2 linked regions of the Drosophila melanogaster genome follow. The protein of the gene in region 2 interacts with the protein of the main gene of each other region in a pairwise test. Each region holds a gene or a part of one and is shown on either strand. Other genes may lie near its edges.

What was found. Proteins that work in one complex are often made in the same cells at the same time.
Region 1: the proteins of CG13113 (region 2) and Ntf-2 interact in a two-hybrid assay, tested with the Drosophila melanogaster proteins (one large-scale study listed by BioGRID).

The regions. Positions count from the first base shown.
Region 1 is NC_004354.4:21,031,168-21,041,468, forward strand, and holds Ntf-2 (nuclear transport factor-2), read left to right. Parts: upstream 1-4,301; 5' UTR 4,302-4,446; coding exon 4,447-4,554; intron 4,555-4,663; exon of another isoform or gene 4,664-4,923; intron 4,924-5,231; coding exon 5,232-5,303; intron 5,304-5,371; coding exon 5,372-5,470; intron 5,471-6,442; coding exon of another isoform or gene 6,443-6,553; exon of another isoform or gene 6,554-6,827; intron 6,828-7,578; coding exon 7,579-7,692; 3' UTR 7,693-8,548; coding exon of another isoform or gene 8,549-8,766; 3' UTR 8,767-8,779; intron 8,780-8,847; 3' UTR 8,848-8,868; coding exon of another isoform or gene 8,869-8,992; 3' UTR 8,993-9,217; coding exon of another isoform or gene 9,218-9,271; 3' UTR 9,272-10,300; downstream 10,301-10,301. Other genes in the region: CG1529 (uncharacterized protein), read right to left, coding at 1-355, 420-692; CG15449 (uncharacterized protein), read right to left, coding at 8,549-8,766, 8,869-8,992, 9,218-9,271.
Region 2 is NT_033779.5:9,540,795-9,546,866, forward strand, and holds CG13113 (uncharacterized protein), read left to right. Parts: upstream 1-3,376; 5' UTR 3,377-3,380; coding exon 3,381-3,998; 3' UTR 3,999-4,081; downstream 4,082-6,072. Other genes in the region: CG17855 (uncharacterized protein), read left to right, coding at 1-264, 324-469, 524-781, 840-953; Cpr30B (cuticular protein 30B), read left to right, coding at 2,153-2,164, 2,235-2,684; CG13114 (uncharacterized protein), read left to right, coding at 5,223-6,072.

The DNA.
Region 1 (10,301 bases), on a different chromosome or scaffold from region 2:
GAGTGAAGGACTTGTCGCAGCTGCGGCACAAGAAGGGTTTCGAGTAGCCCTGATGGACGCTGCGGATGTGGGCCTCCAAGTACGGTAGCTTGTACACCTGCTTGCCGCACTGATCGCAGGCCAAGCCAGCGCGTCGTTTACTACCAGTGCCTTGGCTAAGCTGTTGCTGGCTGTTCTCGTACTCATCTGGATACTCCTCATCCTCCCGGTCGTCAAGAATCTTCTTCTGATCCTCCTGCTTCTTCGACAGATCTACCTGCTGCCCATCCGCCTGCTTTTCATGCTCTTCCTCCAGTTCATGCTCATTTTCCTCATGGTTTTCCTTGAGTCCTTCGTCCGGCGGCTCCTCCTTCACCTAGGAAAGAACTAAGAAAGTATTAATCCAGGTTTAACAAGCCGAAAAGGACATATATATCCACCCTGTCGACCGCGATGTCCACTGGCTGCCATCCGATAAGCTTCTGGCTGGATTCCCTTGCCACTTGGCGCAGCTCGTCAAAGTAGACCACCGCGTTGTGGCACAGGTTGCAGATCTCAGTGGGAAATCCATGCGGCTGCTTCAATATGTCGATGTCCAGCAACTTTTGCAGAATCGCGATGAGTCGCGGATCGGGACAGTGGGTGTCGCGGTCGCGCAGATGACGCAGGCAAATCCTGCACAGGCGCGCGAGGTCCGTAAATGTGGTGAACATCGCCACGAATCGTGCGCGTTAAAGGCAACGTTCTACGTGGAAATCCAGTTCTTTTTTCCGCCTCTTAAATTTTCCTGCTGTGATGCACACGCACCGCCAGTGTTACCAGAGGGCGACACCTGTTGCGCTGCCGTTGATCGATCACTCTTATCGATATCGTTACCAATCCAGCTTATAGGCTTTAAAAAATTCTATAAGCTTGTATATCGAAAATATTAATACTACATTAATATTATTAGAAATCGCAATGCATTTTTAATCTTAGTCATAAATTAGGGTGGATATTAACATTTCCCAATGCGAAGAATGCATCTAGTAAGATGTTTCCGGTATTACAGTTTATTTCATCCTTTCAATATCTGGTCCCTCTCTATTTATAAATAAAACCCGCCTGAAAATTACACAATTTAAATGAACGGATCGAAAAGCAACTTTAGAGACCTTAAAACGGATTCTTAACGTGAATTAAACAACAAATCTAAAAATAATAATATAATAATATATATATATATATATATAATATATGAAAAACAAATAATTGTTTTCCAAATATGACCAAGTATTACGGCTGACAGTAATGCAATAATTTGTTACGAACTGCTTATCCTTCGTTATTGCAGTGCCTCTAGCTCAGGCTTACCACACAGCTCGCAATAGAAATATCGATAACTATCGACGTCTCACCACTCTGCACACCTAAGATCTCAAATAATCAAAGGAACAAAAAAAGGTAATCAAAAGCATTAATTGCAAATGAACATACATGCGCACCCACCCAACCTAGGATGCCCTGAGGATTTTACAGTCATCACCCAATATAAATAAATATAAATATAAATATACCAAAAATTACAAACAGTTGTCATCCTGAATTGCCCATTTTGGTCGTTAACCGCGGTTCATGTGGAAAATATCCTAGTCAGAGGCAAACGAGTAAGAATTTCAAAACAATATAAAAATATATATGATATTAATTTATTGGAATTGTAATTTATTCAAATAAAATTAAAAGTGTGGAAGCGGAGACAATTCAGGTCTTATTCGTAGAGTGAAAGAATTAAATTTAATTGTAAGTTGCAAAGCGAATGCTTAGCAAACCCTTGACTGAAATTTACTTCTTTATGTGTTAAGCTAAAGAGGGCTCCTCTTATGTATTTCTATGAATTGAGTGGATCGTGCATGGATGCTGGGATAAGCCAAGGATTTGAGCTTCGTAAGCGGTTTTGACCCTTTGGTGGGAGTCGTGAATGCGGCTGCGGATGTTTATGTCTGGTGGATTGGGTGCCCTCTTGAGTGGATCGCGCATGGGTACTGATCAGCCGAGAACTTCAGCTGCGTTAGCGGTTTTGACCCTTTGGTGGGAATAGCGAATTCGGCAGCGGATGTTAATGTTTACATTAGGGCAGGCTGGATTTTTTATTGTCACCAGAATTGGGGTTCTTATGGGATACTTGAATTTATGACTTATATCCTAAGGCATTCTATGATTTGGTTTATGCAAAGACACTAGAATAACAAGATGCGTAACGCCATACGATTTTTTGGCACACGATTTTTTGGCCGTGGCTCTAGAGGTGGCTCCAGGCTCTCTCGAATTTTTGTTAGAGAGCGAGAGAGCGGAGAGCGCTACAGCGAATAGCAGACAACTGTATGTGTGCACACGTATGTTCATGCATTGTAAATTTGACAAAATATGCCCTTCACCTCAGAAGTTCTTAGACTTTAAATCTATATTATTTTTGATCAATTGGCACCATGCGAAAAAATCTTGTTTTGCATTGCAAATCCTGATCGTCCTCGCGAAGCAATGCTTCACGGCCATACCGCGGGGGGTCCTGGATTTGCCCTCCTTACTTTTACATTGTTAATCTGTTAATCTTAATCTTAAATGTTCAATAGACGAATTAAAAAAAAAAAAACCTAATCCTGTGTAATCAGAGCACTGGGGACGCGCGCGAGTAGCCGGGCGAATCGAGTTAACGCTCCTGGAAAACCCGAAAATTTTCCGTGTCGCGGCAGCTAAATAGAGACAGGAGTGACTGTCTCTAACACACAGTAATAGTGTAAAAATCACGGAGCAGACCAATAGCCAACCCCTCCGCTTATGAGTCCCCCGTCGGAACTTCACCCTTCACACCCAACCCTTAAGTCCATGACGCTGCGCTTGCTCTCTTGACCAGCCGGGCAGCAGCATAATAAAAACCCATTTTGCGTCTGAGCCAAGGTGGCCGGCGGAATGGTTTGTGTCTGAGCCTCATCGGCCAGCACCGTAACCATCACCTGGCGAATGGTATAGGGCCGCACACCTTGCAGTCCAAGGTTCTAAGGACCCCACCCTATAAGCCAAACGATGGCACCCCCAAGGGGCCATTATAAGTGACCTCCCCCCCAAACAGAGCCCAACCAGCAAGGCCCCCTTTTCTAGAAATCGAGGAGATGGGAGATATATTATACAACGGGGTGAGGAGCATTAATCTGGCAATGAAGAACACATTTGCCAGATTGAAGGATCTCCAACTAAAGCTGCGCGTGAGGCTGCCGGAGGAGGAGAATTCGCATGCCAAATGCACCGCAAGAACTGATGCTAGCCAACAGACCATCCCTAATGGCCTCTTTAGCTATGAAGAACCGAGTAAGGGCAAAGACGGTGTCAAACCAAAGATCGCACGGTGATGTCCAACGCCCTGCACTCCAAGGAGCTGAAGTTGGCGTTGCCGACTCGACCAGCAAGACGGTAATAATGCTGCTCAAAGGTGCCTTGAAACGTGCGACACATACTGAATATGCCATCCAACTGTTTTTCTGTTTTTTATTTTTGTTCTTAGCTAAATGTAATATGTCAAATAAACGAATTTAAAAAAAACCTAATCCTGCGAACCAAACATAGGTGTGTGTTGTGATGGAGGCAACTCCTGCGCAGGCGCGCGATGTCCGTAAATGTGGTGAGCATTGCCACGAATTGTGCGCGCCAAACGCAAATTTTCCTGCTGCGATGCATACGCACTGCCGGTGTGACCAGATCGGTCACTCTTATCGATATCGTTACCAATCCAGCTTACTAGCTTTAATAAATTCTATAAACTTGTATATCGAAAATAAAATTATTATTAATATTATATTAATATCATTTCAAATGGCAATGAATATTTAATTTTAGTAATAAATTGGGGTGGATATATGCTTTTCCGAATGTGAAGAAAACATCATCCTTTCAATATCTGGTTTATCCCTCCCGTCTGAAAATTGTGAAAATACAAGCGATTCCACATTATGAATAAACGGATCTAAAAATCAACTTTAGATACCTTACAATGGATTGTAAGTTGCGTTAGCTTAAGTATGACCTGCAATTAAACAACAAATCAAAGAAAAGTCGTCCCGAGCGAGGAAAAAAAATAATATATGAAACACAAATAATTGTTTTCCAAATGACCAAGTATTACGCCTGACAGAAATGCAATAATTTGTTCTTACATTTATGTGACCCTATCATCATCGAATCATATTTCAAATTCCAATTCCGATTTCGTTATTAGGACATCGGGCTGTAGCCCTGGGTATCGTAATCGATAGTTGCGAAATAGCAGTCAGCGATAGTGTCTGACAAAATCGACGTTGTTCCACCCCTAACAAAGAGTGGTGATCTGAGCGCAGTCGGTTGATTTCATTTGGTTTTTTTTTTAATTATTCGTGTCGCCGCGATCGGATCGGATTTCCCATAATCTCTGAGCGTTCCGCCTATCCTTCAAGTGAAATGTCGCTGAATCCGCAGTACGAGGACATTGGCAAGGGATTTGTGCAGCAGTACTATGCGATATTCGATGACCCGGCGAATCGGGCGAACGTGGTTAATTTCTATAGCGTAAGTGTTGTTGCTTCCCGCTTCTGCTCGTCGCCTTTCATCTCTCCTTTATTCCCGTCTCCGCTTTCGCCTGCACATTTTTCGCTTGCCATCCCCATCACACGCACAGGTGACGCGCGGCGCGCCCTTGAAAAATTCCGCCTCCTTTCAGCAGAAAATGAATAAAGAAACTGTTGCAATGCGAAAAAGAGCGCGAAAAAGAGCAGCTGGAGATATACGGTCGGCGTATCCGTGATATCGTGGGAATAGGATGAATGTTGATAGGGGCGGGGGCAGCGTTCGATTCTCGAAGTTTCGGGTGACACATTACGCCCATGCTCGCATAAATAAATACACACATACGAAATATATGGCCAACATACAACTGCGGTTAGCACAATAGGGCCCAATATACGATATAAATTCGTGAAAAAATTGTATTAATATCTTGAAAAATATGGCATAATTGTGTTTCATTAGTTTCAATCAATTCAGTTTTTTTGTCACATAAAAGAGTAAATGAAAGAATAAAAAAGTCTATAATGATAAAGTATTGAAAATAAAACTATCTGTTTGATATGTTTTTAATTTAAATATTAACAGTTTTATAACCAATTTTGTTCTTAATAATACGAAATATCATTACTAAGTAAAACATCATCATAACACTTATATCATTATATATTTTATACTTCCAGGCTACCGACTCATTCATGACCTTTGAAGGCCACCAAATACAGGGGGCACCCAAGATTCTGGAAAAAGTTCAGGTAAGTCCTGATTATATACAGTCATGGGCATATGTATAATATTTTGCATACCCTTCCTATTCCTGCAGAGTCTGAGCTTTCAGAAGATTACCAGAGTGATAACCACAGTGGACTCGCAGCCAACTTTCGATGGCGGAGTTCTGATCAACGTCCTTGGAAGACTACAGGTAAAACCAGAATTCTCAACAAGAAAACTGTCCTAAACTCGCTGTCGGGGGGAAATTCAATGACTGCCTGCGGCGGCGGTTAGAATATTAGCACTGCCGACCAATTCAATCGATTTTCTTTTCAAGTTTTGAATTTTATTTTTGGTCTTTTCAACACGTAAATGCTTGACAATCGTTTTTGTAACAAATAGAACGTTTTGTTTTGGCTTTCACATAAGAACATTATTTATTTTGCACTGTTTCCCATTTATTTGTTATCATGTATGGGCTTTATTAAGCCTGCCACTTTATTCCATTAAGTGTTCTTCATTCTAAGATACATTATACCCGTTACTAGTGCAGTTAAAGAGTATACTATATTCGTTAAAAAGTATGTAACATGTAGAAGCAATCGTTTTCGACAAAATGTAGTATATATATTCTTGATCAGGATCAATAGCCGAGTCGATCTGGCCCTCTCCATATGAACGTCGAGATCTCAGGAACTATAAAAGCTAGAAGGTTGATATTAAGCAGACCGATCCTAGAGACACCGACGCAGCGCAAGTTTGTTGATCCATGTTGCCACGCCCACTCATATTGTTCAATATGAAATTTCGCGTTCTCACTTCCAGTCGGAAAAGTCGACCATAGCATTCTCTCTTGTTTTGAATATAATATCCATTGACTTATTGATGCAGTTATAGTAGGTAGATAAATGAAATGAATTTTAAAAAGAGTAACTGCCTCAATGTATTTTACGATACCTTATTGTTCAAAGTGGATATATGTAGAGACGTAGAAGCAAATTTCAATCGCCCATCACTTAAGATATGAAATCATTCATCATTCTTCCGTAAAGTCGTAAGGGCAGTGCTATTTGCCGACCGCCGCTGCATCTATTATTCCATATAAGTCACCTGAATCTGAATCGAATATCTCAATTCTGGTTATTACAAAACGAAACACAAATGCCAAAACAAACCAATGCAGACCGACGAGGATCAGCCGCATGCCTATATTCAGACCTTCGTATTGAAGCCGGTGGGCGGCAGTTTCTTTGTGCAGCACGATATATTCCGACTCTCGCTGCACGATGTGTAGCACCAGCGAGCCCGACCTGCCACGCCCAGTCCACAGACTCCAGCGCCCGGCTATATGTGTGTAAATCGAGATCGAGATCAGCAGCCAAACGATCAGCCAGCAGACACGAGACGAGAGCCAGTTAAAAAACGAAAGAAATCCATATCTAAGCGATAAGATAGTTCTGCTGCTTGTCGACCTTATGCCGCCCAGCCATGCCCACTCCGCCCACATATACAAAAATATTTATCCTTGGCGTCTCGTCGTCGTCCAATTTCTTCTAATTATTCTCACAGTACGTGAATGTCCAACGAAAATTAATCAAATCAAAATGTTGCGCATTTCATTTCGTGCATGGTTTTCGTTGATTTTGAGTTGGATTTGCTCTTTCTTTCGGTTGGTCGCTGGGGACCTGGAACCTCCTAATAATGCAATTTTAATGTAACACAAACAATTTCTGTAACCTCTATTGCTTTACATTTTTAACTAAACGGTTTATATTTATATTATATTTTTAGATGCTTTCAATTGATATTGCACTTATAAAAATTCTGTTTTTCATTTGTTACAAAACCAAATACCAATTGACTAGTCTTAACTTGCATATTGTTTTGTTCAATAGCTCGAAGAAGAGAACTGTAAATATCCCAAATTGTTAAGCGCACCCTAATATGCCTTAAAAAAAAAACTTTCAAATGTTGTTCAATTTTGAATGGAACTGAGGAAAGTTTTGAGAAGTTCTTATATCAGTGAATAATAATTTTGCTCGCACATTTGGTATAAAGTTTATTCTGCTCGTGAAAATGTTTTGGAGTTATGTTCAATTTATCGAGCGAGCCCTGTACAGTAAACACGCACCTTACACGATCAATCGGCTGCCAGTTGTACACCCTTTCCCTCTGACCCTGGCTTCAAACTGTGTGTACTCCATTCATATCTAACTCAATACGTTGAAATTGGTTTTTCGCACGCTTGTGTTATTGACTTTAAATGTGACTGGTTTGCCTGGCATCTGCTAACGTATTTATGATTTCATTCCTTTGCAGTGCGATGACGATCCCCCACATGCCTTCTCGCAGGTCTTTTTCCTGAAGGCCAACGCAGGCACCTTCTTTGTGGCCCACGACATCTTCCGTCTCAACATCCACAACTCTGCCTAGGAGCACTCCACTTACCTACGTATGCACACCACTCAGCACCACACATAATCGACATCCAAAGATGCCCAGCGCCAGATGATAACAACAAGCTCGGCAGTGGAACTCAGAAAAAAAAAATATAACAAAGCCAGCCAGCGGTCTCACGATTATCAGCAAATACAAAAGTTAGAAAAAGAAAAAAAAAAAAAAAACAATAAAAAAATAAGAAAATAACGCTAACTACTATTACGATGTCAACAAAATGGGCCGCCAGCTCACCTTCATTTGTGTCCCATTGTTGCCGGTACTCTCGCTTTACGATCCACGGAACCCTAGAATTATATGTTCTGCGAACACCTGGATCTCGCGATCTAATTTAGCTAGGACTATCGAATTTGGTGGTATGTGCCGTGCTACAAGCTCGTATTTCGAATTCCCGTGAAATGAGCAGGAACAGCAGGCCGGGATCATCGCCTACATAAGTTTAGAGTGATTTTCTAGACCGTTTATATTTCCAATTGAATTATTTGTACTTTAATTATGAGGATTATTTTAGATAGCCGTATTGCAAATGTATTGTGTCGAGTGTCTCGCTCTGTAAACAATTACTTGAGTACCGGGACTGCACCACACACAGTCGCAAGTATCGACTCTTGCTTTCTCATATGACTAATTGAGCGATGGCGAATTACTTTTTATTGAGAGAAAAAAAAAACACTTAAATATAAAGATAAACGTTAACAGTTTGGTTGTTTGTATGATTGGCGGAATGGCCAGTTGAACCGGAAAGATATGTATACCCTTATAAGCTATTAAATGCATACGAAAGAAGCTCCAGCGGATCTGGCCAGTGGTTTCCGTCTAAAAACTGAACGATTCACTTGTCGCGAAATGTGAACACCGCATCGAATCCGAATAGCACCCCATTGACGATGGACAGCGAGGCCTTGATGAGCGCGAGATCCCGAGTTCGGGTGCGGAAGGAGAACTCCCAGGCCTCAATGATGAACACACCGCTGGCCACGAACAAGGTGCAGCCCAGGACGCTGAAGAATATATCGATGCGCTTGTGAATGGGTGCCCGCATCAGAACGCCTGCAATTGCAAGGTATCTTAAGTAGATTTGTGTGCAAATTTCGTTTTTGGTTAACTTATTTTAGTATTTTAACTCTTAAGGACTGGCATTCCAAGGCGTACCTGCAAAGACCCCGATGACCACTATGATGTAGCCCGTGAAGGTGCCAGTGGCCAGGAACGAAGTCATTATATCGCGATCGTTGAAGCTGTAGAAGTGGAGCACCAGACACGCTACCGCAAAACCCTGGAAAAGTGAGGGGATTTTCATTTGTGGTGCTTCTTGGTGTTCTTATAATTTCCGAGTCTATCTGGTATTTCGGGTCTTTTCTTTTAATTCCCAAGTCGTTTTTTTTTTTTTTTTTTTTTTTTTTGACAAACCATTGTTTAGTAAGCATACGCGTTGCTTTTTGCATTAATTCATTAATCCTTAGAACTTGCAGTAAAATCACTTGAAAAAAAAATCCTTTACCAGTTCGAGAAACTTGACCACATTGAGGCGGCCTTTTCGCTCGCCATGAGACATTTTGTGAAACTGCTGCCGCTGACAGTCCTCGAAAATGTGGTCCAGCTTGAAAATGTACGTGTCGCAACTCAAGAAAGTTCCAAAGTTCTTCCGATTGGCCTCTTTGGAGCGTGCTCGCGACGGCAGAGCGCTGGACAAACTGATTCTGATTCGGAAATGGATGACGGATGGCAGGCAAATGCGGCTGCAGTTTGCAGTTGGGCGCAGTCGGGCCCAGCCAGCGAAATTAATTAATTACACTTAGGAAATAGGCTTTTCATTCTTGTTCCCATCCCTGTGTATCCGCCCACGTCCACCACGTCCGCCGGGCCTCTCGGTTCCATCTCTGAAGTGGAGACCGTCTGCGTTCTCCGCTGCCAGCTGCACTCGAGCCCCATCCCTTCCAGCTTGATTGAGTGGAGCATAATGTCTGTATCTGCATGCATGCTCTGTGCCGGTGGGTGGCCAGTGGACAGTGGGCAGCCGCCCAATGGACTCGGACTCATTGTGCTCGCATTGCCATTACCCCAAATTTGCTGCCTAACCTTCGGGGCCCAAGATCGGAGCTAATTCGCGGAATCGGGGCCAACGGGTCGCCAATTTTCCGATGGTAATCAAGTGGATAATGGAAAACATATCGCCGGGGAAATCACTTCCTCAAATCATGAATAATCTTATGGACTTCATGGGAATTATTAGGTTGTAAGGTTGTGTTGCAACGCTTTTCAGATATAAAAGTGGATTTGTAATGCATGGAATATATTTTTTAATATATTACAAGTACTGTACTTTTTAAGTGCAATTAAAAGCTTAGAGCAACATAAAAAGTAAGCCGAATTTTATATACCCTTCACCTATAGTAACTTAGCTACCACTAGCTTGGACGACTACAGTCGTCCTGTTTTAATAAAATGTATTTTATTTCTATTTATTTTTCCTGTATTTTTTACGAACGTTAAACTGCAAATCCCATTCCGCTCGCTCCTAGTTCAGCTAAATTATATAGTTTATATAAAATTAGATTAGTAATTACATTTCCGACCCGGCCTGT
Region 2 (6,072 bases):
TGCGCCATCGACTAAATCGCGCATCTGCCAGCCACAGCACCAATGCGGCCATAAATGTGGAGGCCAAGATCATGGTCTTCCAATTGGAGGAGGAACGAGATCGTCTGGTGGAAACACTGCAGAAGCACAAGAAGAAGTACAACAAACTGCATGACGCTTATCTGGAGAAAGTGAAACGTTGTCGTGCTTTGGAGGAGATGTTTAAACGGCAGAAGACGCTTACAGGCTTGGTAATGAAGTCCTCTTTAGATCAAAGAAATGCAGGTGTGTTAGGAAATGGAATTTTTGCTTAAAATTAGATCAATACTCTAAAAATCTACTAGAGCAACGAATGGCTATGGAGAAAAGGCAGTCGGCCCAAAGCGATGTCAACGAATTGAACGAGCTGAAGGCCAAAGTAGAAAAACTTCAAAGAGCCCTTGATGAGTCATACGACATTATTGACGAAATGGATTTTGAACTTGAGAGCGTAAGACGCTTTAGAACGTATTAGCAAGCTTAAGTAAAAATGATTCGTTTAAAGGTGGAATTACTGGAAATGCAAAACCAATCCTTGCGGGACGAATTAGCCGCTTTTAAGGCAAAATCAGAAGAAGGAGCGACCAGTCTGCCGGCCTCGCTACCCAACGATGACGACCCACCGCCCAAATATGAGGAAGACTATCCCGGACAGCATCATAAAGCTATGCAGGCCCGGCGCTGCTCCTCTAGCAGTGAATCTGACCCCAAGGATGATGATGCCGACGCAGAAACTATGGAAAGAGCTGCTTTAACCCATAGCGTAAGCTTTAATCCTAATTCTCATTAATTATATATGTCTGATTGTTCCTTGTATTCAGCTCATACAAACTGTGGAAACAGAGAGCAATGCCCTAAGACGGGAATTGTTGAGATCCCGCTGTCAAAGAACAATTCGCGCCAAGTTGGAGAAAGAAAGCGAGCCTGTTGATTAGGATAAGTGGCGGGATTAATCTTATCACATAGCTCCCAGCCAAAAACTAAACAACCAACCAATAGATCATAATAACAAGTAGCCATACTAAAGCTGATGAAACTGATCACTAAGTTTACGCACAGAGAGCAATAACTAGACGGCTGGACTAACCCAGATTCCGAACCAACTACGCCTAACCAGTGCACATACCAGAATTTGCTTTTAAGGTTCGACAAACACGCTCGGCGGCTGCGTTAAATCAAAACTTTTGCGATATAGTAACCCGGTTTCTTGGACTGCGCGCAGAGAAACCCCTCGTCTAATGGCGATTAATTAAATTATTTGCTAATGCCATCAAACGAGTTGCGGACAGATCACCTGCCAAAAGGATCTGGCCTCCGAGCTGTGAAGGTTCCAGCCCCCGACTTCTGCCCTCCCATCCCATTTCCAATTCGACGTGGTGCGCTATCCATTAAAACATGACAATTATTTTTATGACTTAATGCAGTCGGAGGCCTTGTTGCCCAATGCCTAATGTTGCAAATTATTGACAAAGTAAATTAATCTCCACATTTGTTGGTTGGACCAGACAAACTAGCGCGACACCTCTAAGATCACCATCAAGCTCTCCCACTTGCGGCATATTCATTTGGATGCTTATCGAATGTGCGTCGCAAAAGAAAAATCAAATGCGTCATGGGTAAAAAAACTACAAGATTTTATAAATTTAAGTTTTAATAAAAATATTTTTTAAATTTCTTTATTTTGGATTCGGTGGATTTAGAAATTTCTTAAAAATATTAAGTGAGTTTTACGTCGTTTTCATTAGAAAAGAAGAATTAGGAGAATGGAATGGTTACTATTTCGTTCGACATGAAGCCTAACTTGGTTCCTAATTTTTTGCAGTGCATGGCTCAGGCTGGTGCGAACCACATTTTGCATATTTCTTGTTTAATTATAATTTTTCGGGGCTCACTTAATGAGCGCGCTCCACTTGGTCGGCGATCTTGTTTGGGAGGCGCGTGCCGCAAAGCGACACGACGCCTTGGGTGGATTGCCACATCCAAGTTGGATCGAAGCGTAGCTCTGGCCTGGTAATCAGTTGGCCAGCTTGTATATAAGCAGCCTAGGACTACCCAGATTAATTACTTCGATTTCGATCTTTGTCGAGTGCATTTCAATACCCAAAGAGTTCTGAAAGGACCAAAATACCACAAAATGATGGGAAAAGTGAGTGGAGTGGAGGAAAAAGGGTGCGATACAAAGGATTCTAATGCATAGAGTGGTGTCTTCCTTTTAGGTTACCTATTTGTTGTGCCTGTGCCTGGCCAGCGCCGTTTGGGCCATTGAATTGCAGGCGGAGCCGGACTACGGACCAGTGGCCTACGAGTTCCAGTGGTCGGTGAACGATCCCCACACCGGCGACATCAAGAGCCAAAAGGAGTCCCGCAAGGACGACAAGGTCGAGGGTGTCTACGAGCTGATCGATTCCGATGGCTATCGCCGCATAGTGCAGTACAAGGCGGATGATCACAACGGTTTCGAGGCAATTGTCCAGCGTGAGCCCACGGACATCAAGATACCGTTGCCTGAGCCACCCAAGAAGCTCCTGGCCGCCAAGATCCTGACTCCCGTGCTACCGGTGGCGCCACTCGTCCACTACGCCGCCCCCAAGGCCATTATCAAGCAGGAGCTGTCCGCCGGGAACTATGTCTCTGTATCCGGACCAACAGCACAGTACAAGTACTAAAAGGATCTAATGACTGACTTCAGCTGCATAAACCCATTAGGAAACCCGTCTTGACCCGGGAAAACTCACTGCCATACATCATAATTTAGTTACAATTAAGACAATTGAGTGTACATACAGACAGCTTACATTAACCTACAATAAAGATGCATCCCATTCAATCTGTTCGCAGAGGAACACAAAAACTTGGATTTTTTAATATAGGGAATATACTTAAAAGCTGGGTGAGGGTATTTTATTGATATAAAAAAAAAAATGAGTAGTTGAGTAGTGGTTGTGTTGCAAACATACTTATATAAGTGTGAAGATCAGTTAAGAAAAATATAAGCCAAGTGAAGAAAAACCACATTATGACAGTTCACAAGTGTGACACAAAAAAGTGAAAGATTATTAAAACCAAAAAAAAAAAGTGGTGAATGAAATGCTTGACTTAGTTCAACTCGCTTGTGTGTTTGGCTTCTTCAGTGAATTCGTATCATTATATTTGCGAATTGATGTCTCATAAAATGATGCGTCACGATACAGGTGGCTTCGATACTGTGATAAGCATAAACTAATGCTATCGCCGCCAGACGCGACATGGCCCATAGATGCCTCTAATCTCACGTAGCTGCTGCCACTTTGGGGGCGTCCAATTACCGGCGCAGTCGACGTCGTCGATGGCGATTCTATTGGATTTGGCTAACGCTCTGACCAATGCATCCATGGAGCATCAGTGCGAAAATGGTCGGCTGCCCGGAGACACGACAACTACTGGTCACATTGCTATTGACCCTTGGCTTCTGCCTGGGGGGAAGCTCAAAGGATACAGTTGCGGATGCGGATGCCAAGTGGATGGCTCCACTTAAGCAGTATGGGTATACGCCGCAGCATCTGAAGAACAAAGTGGAGCATGGTGAATTCACCACCTTCGAACTGGGCACCCCCAACTACCAGATTCTCAATCCCGAAGACGAACCGGAATACATAACTGCGGATCAACCGCATTATCAGGAGATGCTGAGGCGACTTACCAGTGGTCGTAGTAAAGCTGACACCATTGATGTGGAAATGGCAAGTCGCACGGAAACGGTTCGCGAGACTTCCGATCCGGGTCAATCTAAAAAACCATCTCAAATTCAAGTGCCAGTTAAACCGAAGACACAACTAAAACAAAATCGCTGGGAGAAACTAAGGAAGCGCAGCTCCATCGAAAAAAGACGTGACCACAAGGAAACCATGGAAACTGATGTGCGGGATGATCAAAGTTTCTTCCCTGATATTCAGGTTTACCCCGGCTTACCCTTCCAAAGTCGTGTAGCAAATCTAAATTAATCATAAATAAGTCACCTCATCCAAATGTGCAAATGGCTTTGATTTTAAGTGATCTCTGGTGATTCGGACAATGAATAAATACTAAAAGTATAAAAGTAAAAAAAATAAAGTACTTTTTTAAAGGACTACTTTAAATAAATCGGAGTTTTTTGCTATTTTTCTTTGTAAGGCTAAAATTGTTATGACTTTTACTCGCAATAATGAAAATAGTGATGTTGCTTATTTTTGTTAAAACAAAAAAGATTAAGAGTGCCCCCAATTTTAAGCAGAGTTTTCCCAAAATGTTGTTTAAATAATGAGCTAGACAAAATGTTAAATGGTCAAGATACTATTATTTAAATCAGTAAAGCTTTTGTACTCAATTTGTAGGAAGATAATTTAGGTATTGAGCAATATCGCTTACAAAAATACCATTATCCATAGTGTACGTGTAGACCTTGAGTTCCACAAAGAATTACAACCAAAAATTGATAAGTCAATCGACCCCAGACGTTAATATCAGATCTAGGCCGAGACCCAGAAATTATAAATCCCCCAAGCAGCTGGAAATTTTGTGCAGAACCGAAAAAATGATCATTGCGGTCGGAATGGTTTTGGCTATTTATAAAATTAAAGATTTCAGGAGGATTGTTTATTCTGGCTAATGAGAAACTGCCTAAAAAAAATGCATTATGAAGTTCGTCTTTCTCTTAAAGGTTATTGTCATGCCAAAGGTCATACATAAATATGTTTGCTATATGTTTTTGATTAAACAACTCTTGTCGCGAGCACTCCAAGCTATCGACGAGTGCGGGCAGAAATGCTTGAATGTGTATTACGGAAGCGGCGGCATCTGGCGATTGTCTTTACCCATTCCGGACCCATTCCGGACAACCACGCCCCATTCCGAGCCGTTTGGGGCGTTTGGAACGTGATGCGGTCAACGCTTCCGCGACCCATTTGCTCGGCGTTGTAAGAACGAGAAGAAGAAGCTCTCGGCCAGCGCAGCGTATTTAAGAGCTATTCAGCAAAATGCATGAAAGAGTTTCGCACGCGACCGACCAACAGCCAACAAGTGCCATCCATCGGCGATCCGGGACAGAAATTCCAGCAATTGTGGGGAAAGTGATCGAGCGAGCGAGGGAGAAATTCAGTTGAAAGGTAGGGTAACGGGGTCAATCGATTGGGAACGATTCCGGCGCAATTCTCTGACCCATTCTAAATTCAATATTCTCCCCCCTTCAGATGTTCGAACGCTGCAATTTATTATTTATGACCATGCTGATGGCATCGGCACTATTGACCCAAGCCCATTTCCCGGAATATTGTGCGGAATGTGAACAGGAGGTGTGGGAACAGGTGCCGTGCAGCGAGGTGCCCACAACGGTAGCGCCAACAACAACCGGAGGCTCTACGTTGAGCCCGCCCACAACCAGCGCCACCAGCCCGGGACCTATTTACCCAACAACAACCAGTGCCCCACCCACGCCCACGGATTACACTACACAGCCATCGGAGTACAAGAAGTGCTACTGCGAATGCAAGCTGGGCTGCAAGGAGTTCTGCCGCAAGGTGATCTCTTCTGAGCCCAAGCAGCCGCTCACCCAGATCTCATCCATTGGGGAGTATGCCCCAGGTGGCCAGGTGGAGTACACGCATGTCCATCAGCGCAAATACTTTCCCAAGTACGGAGGCGAATCCTATGGGGGATTGGTAGGACCAGTGGGCGGACCCAAGGCCTATAAGCCATATCCATTGGTCTACGAACAGGCGGCATCAGCTGCTTCACCGGCTTCCATTCCCTCGGTGGCTTCCTCACCAGCGGTGGCCAGCATAGCTGCTCCTAATTACACGCTGGAGGAGTTGGCCCAATTGCTTAGCACTGCGTATGGCACCAAGAAGGGCTACCCAGCTAGTGTGCCAACTCCGCCACGTATTCAGCTTCAGCCAGCTCCCTCCGTTTTCTATTCCCCGGTTCCAAGCTACAAAAAGCAAGTGGTTCCACTCGTGAGCAAAGTGGCGCCGGCACCCAAAATCTCCTCCAGCATTAAGTATGCCGCCTCAGCGGTTTCATCATCATCATCGGGCGTGTCGG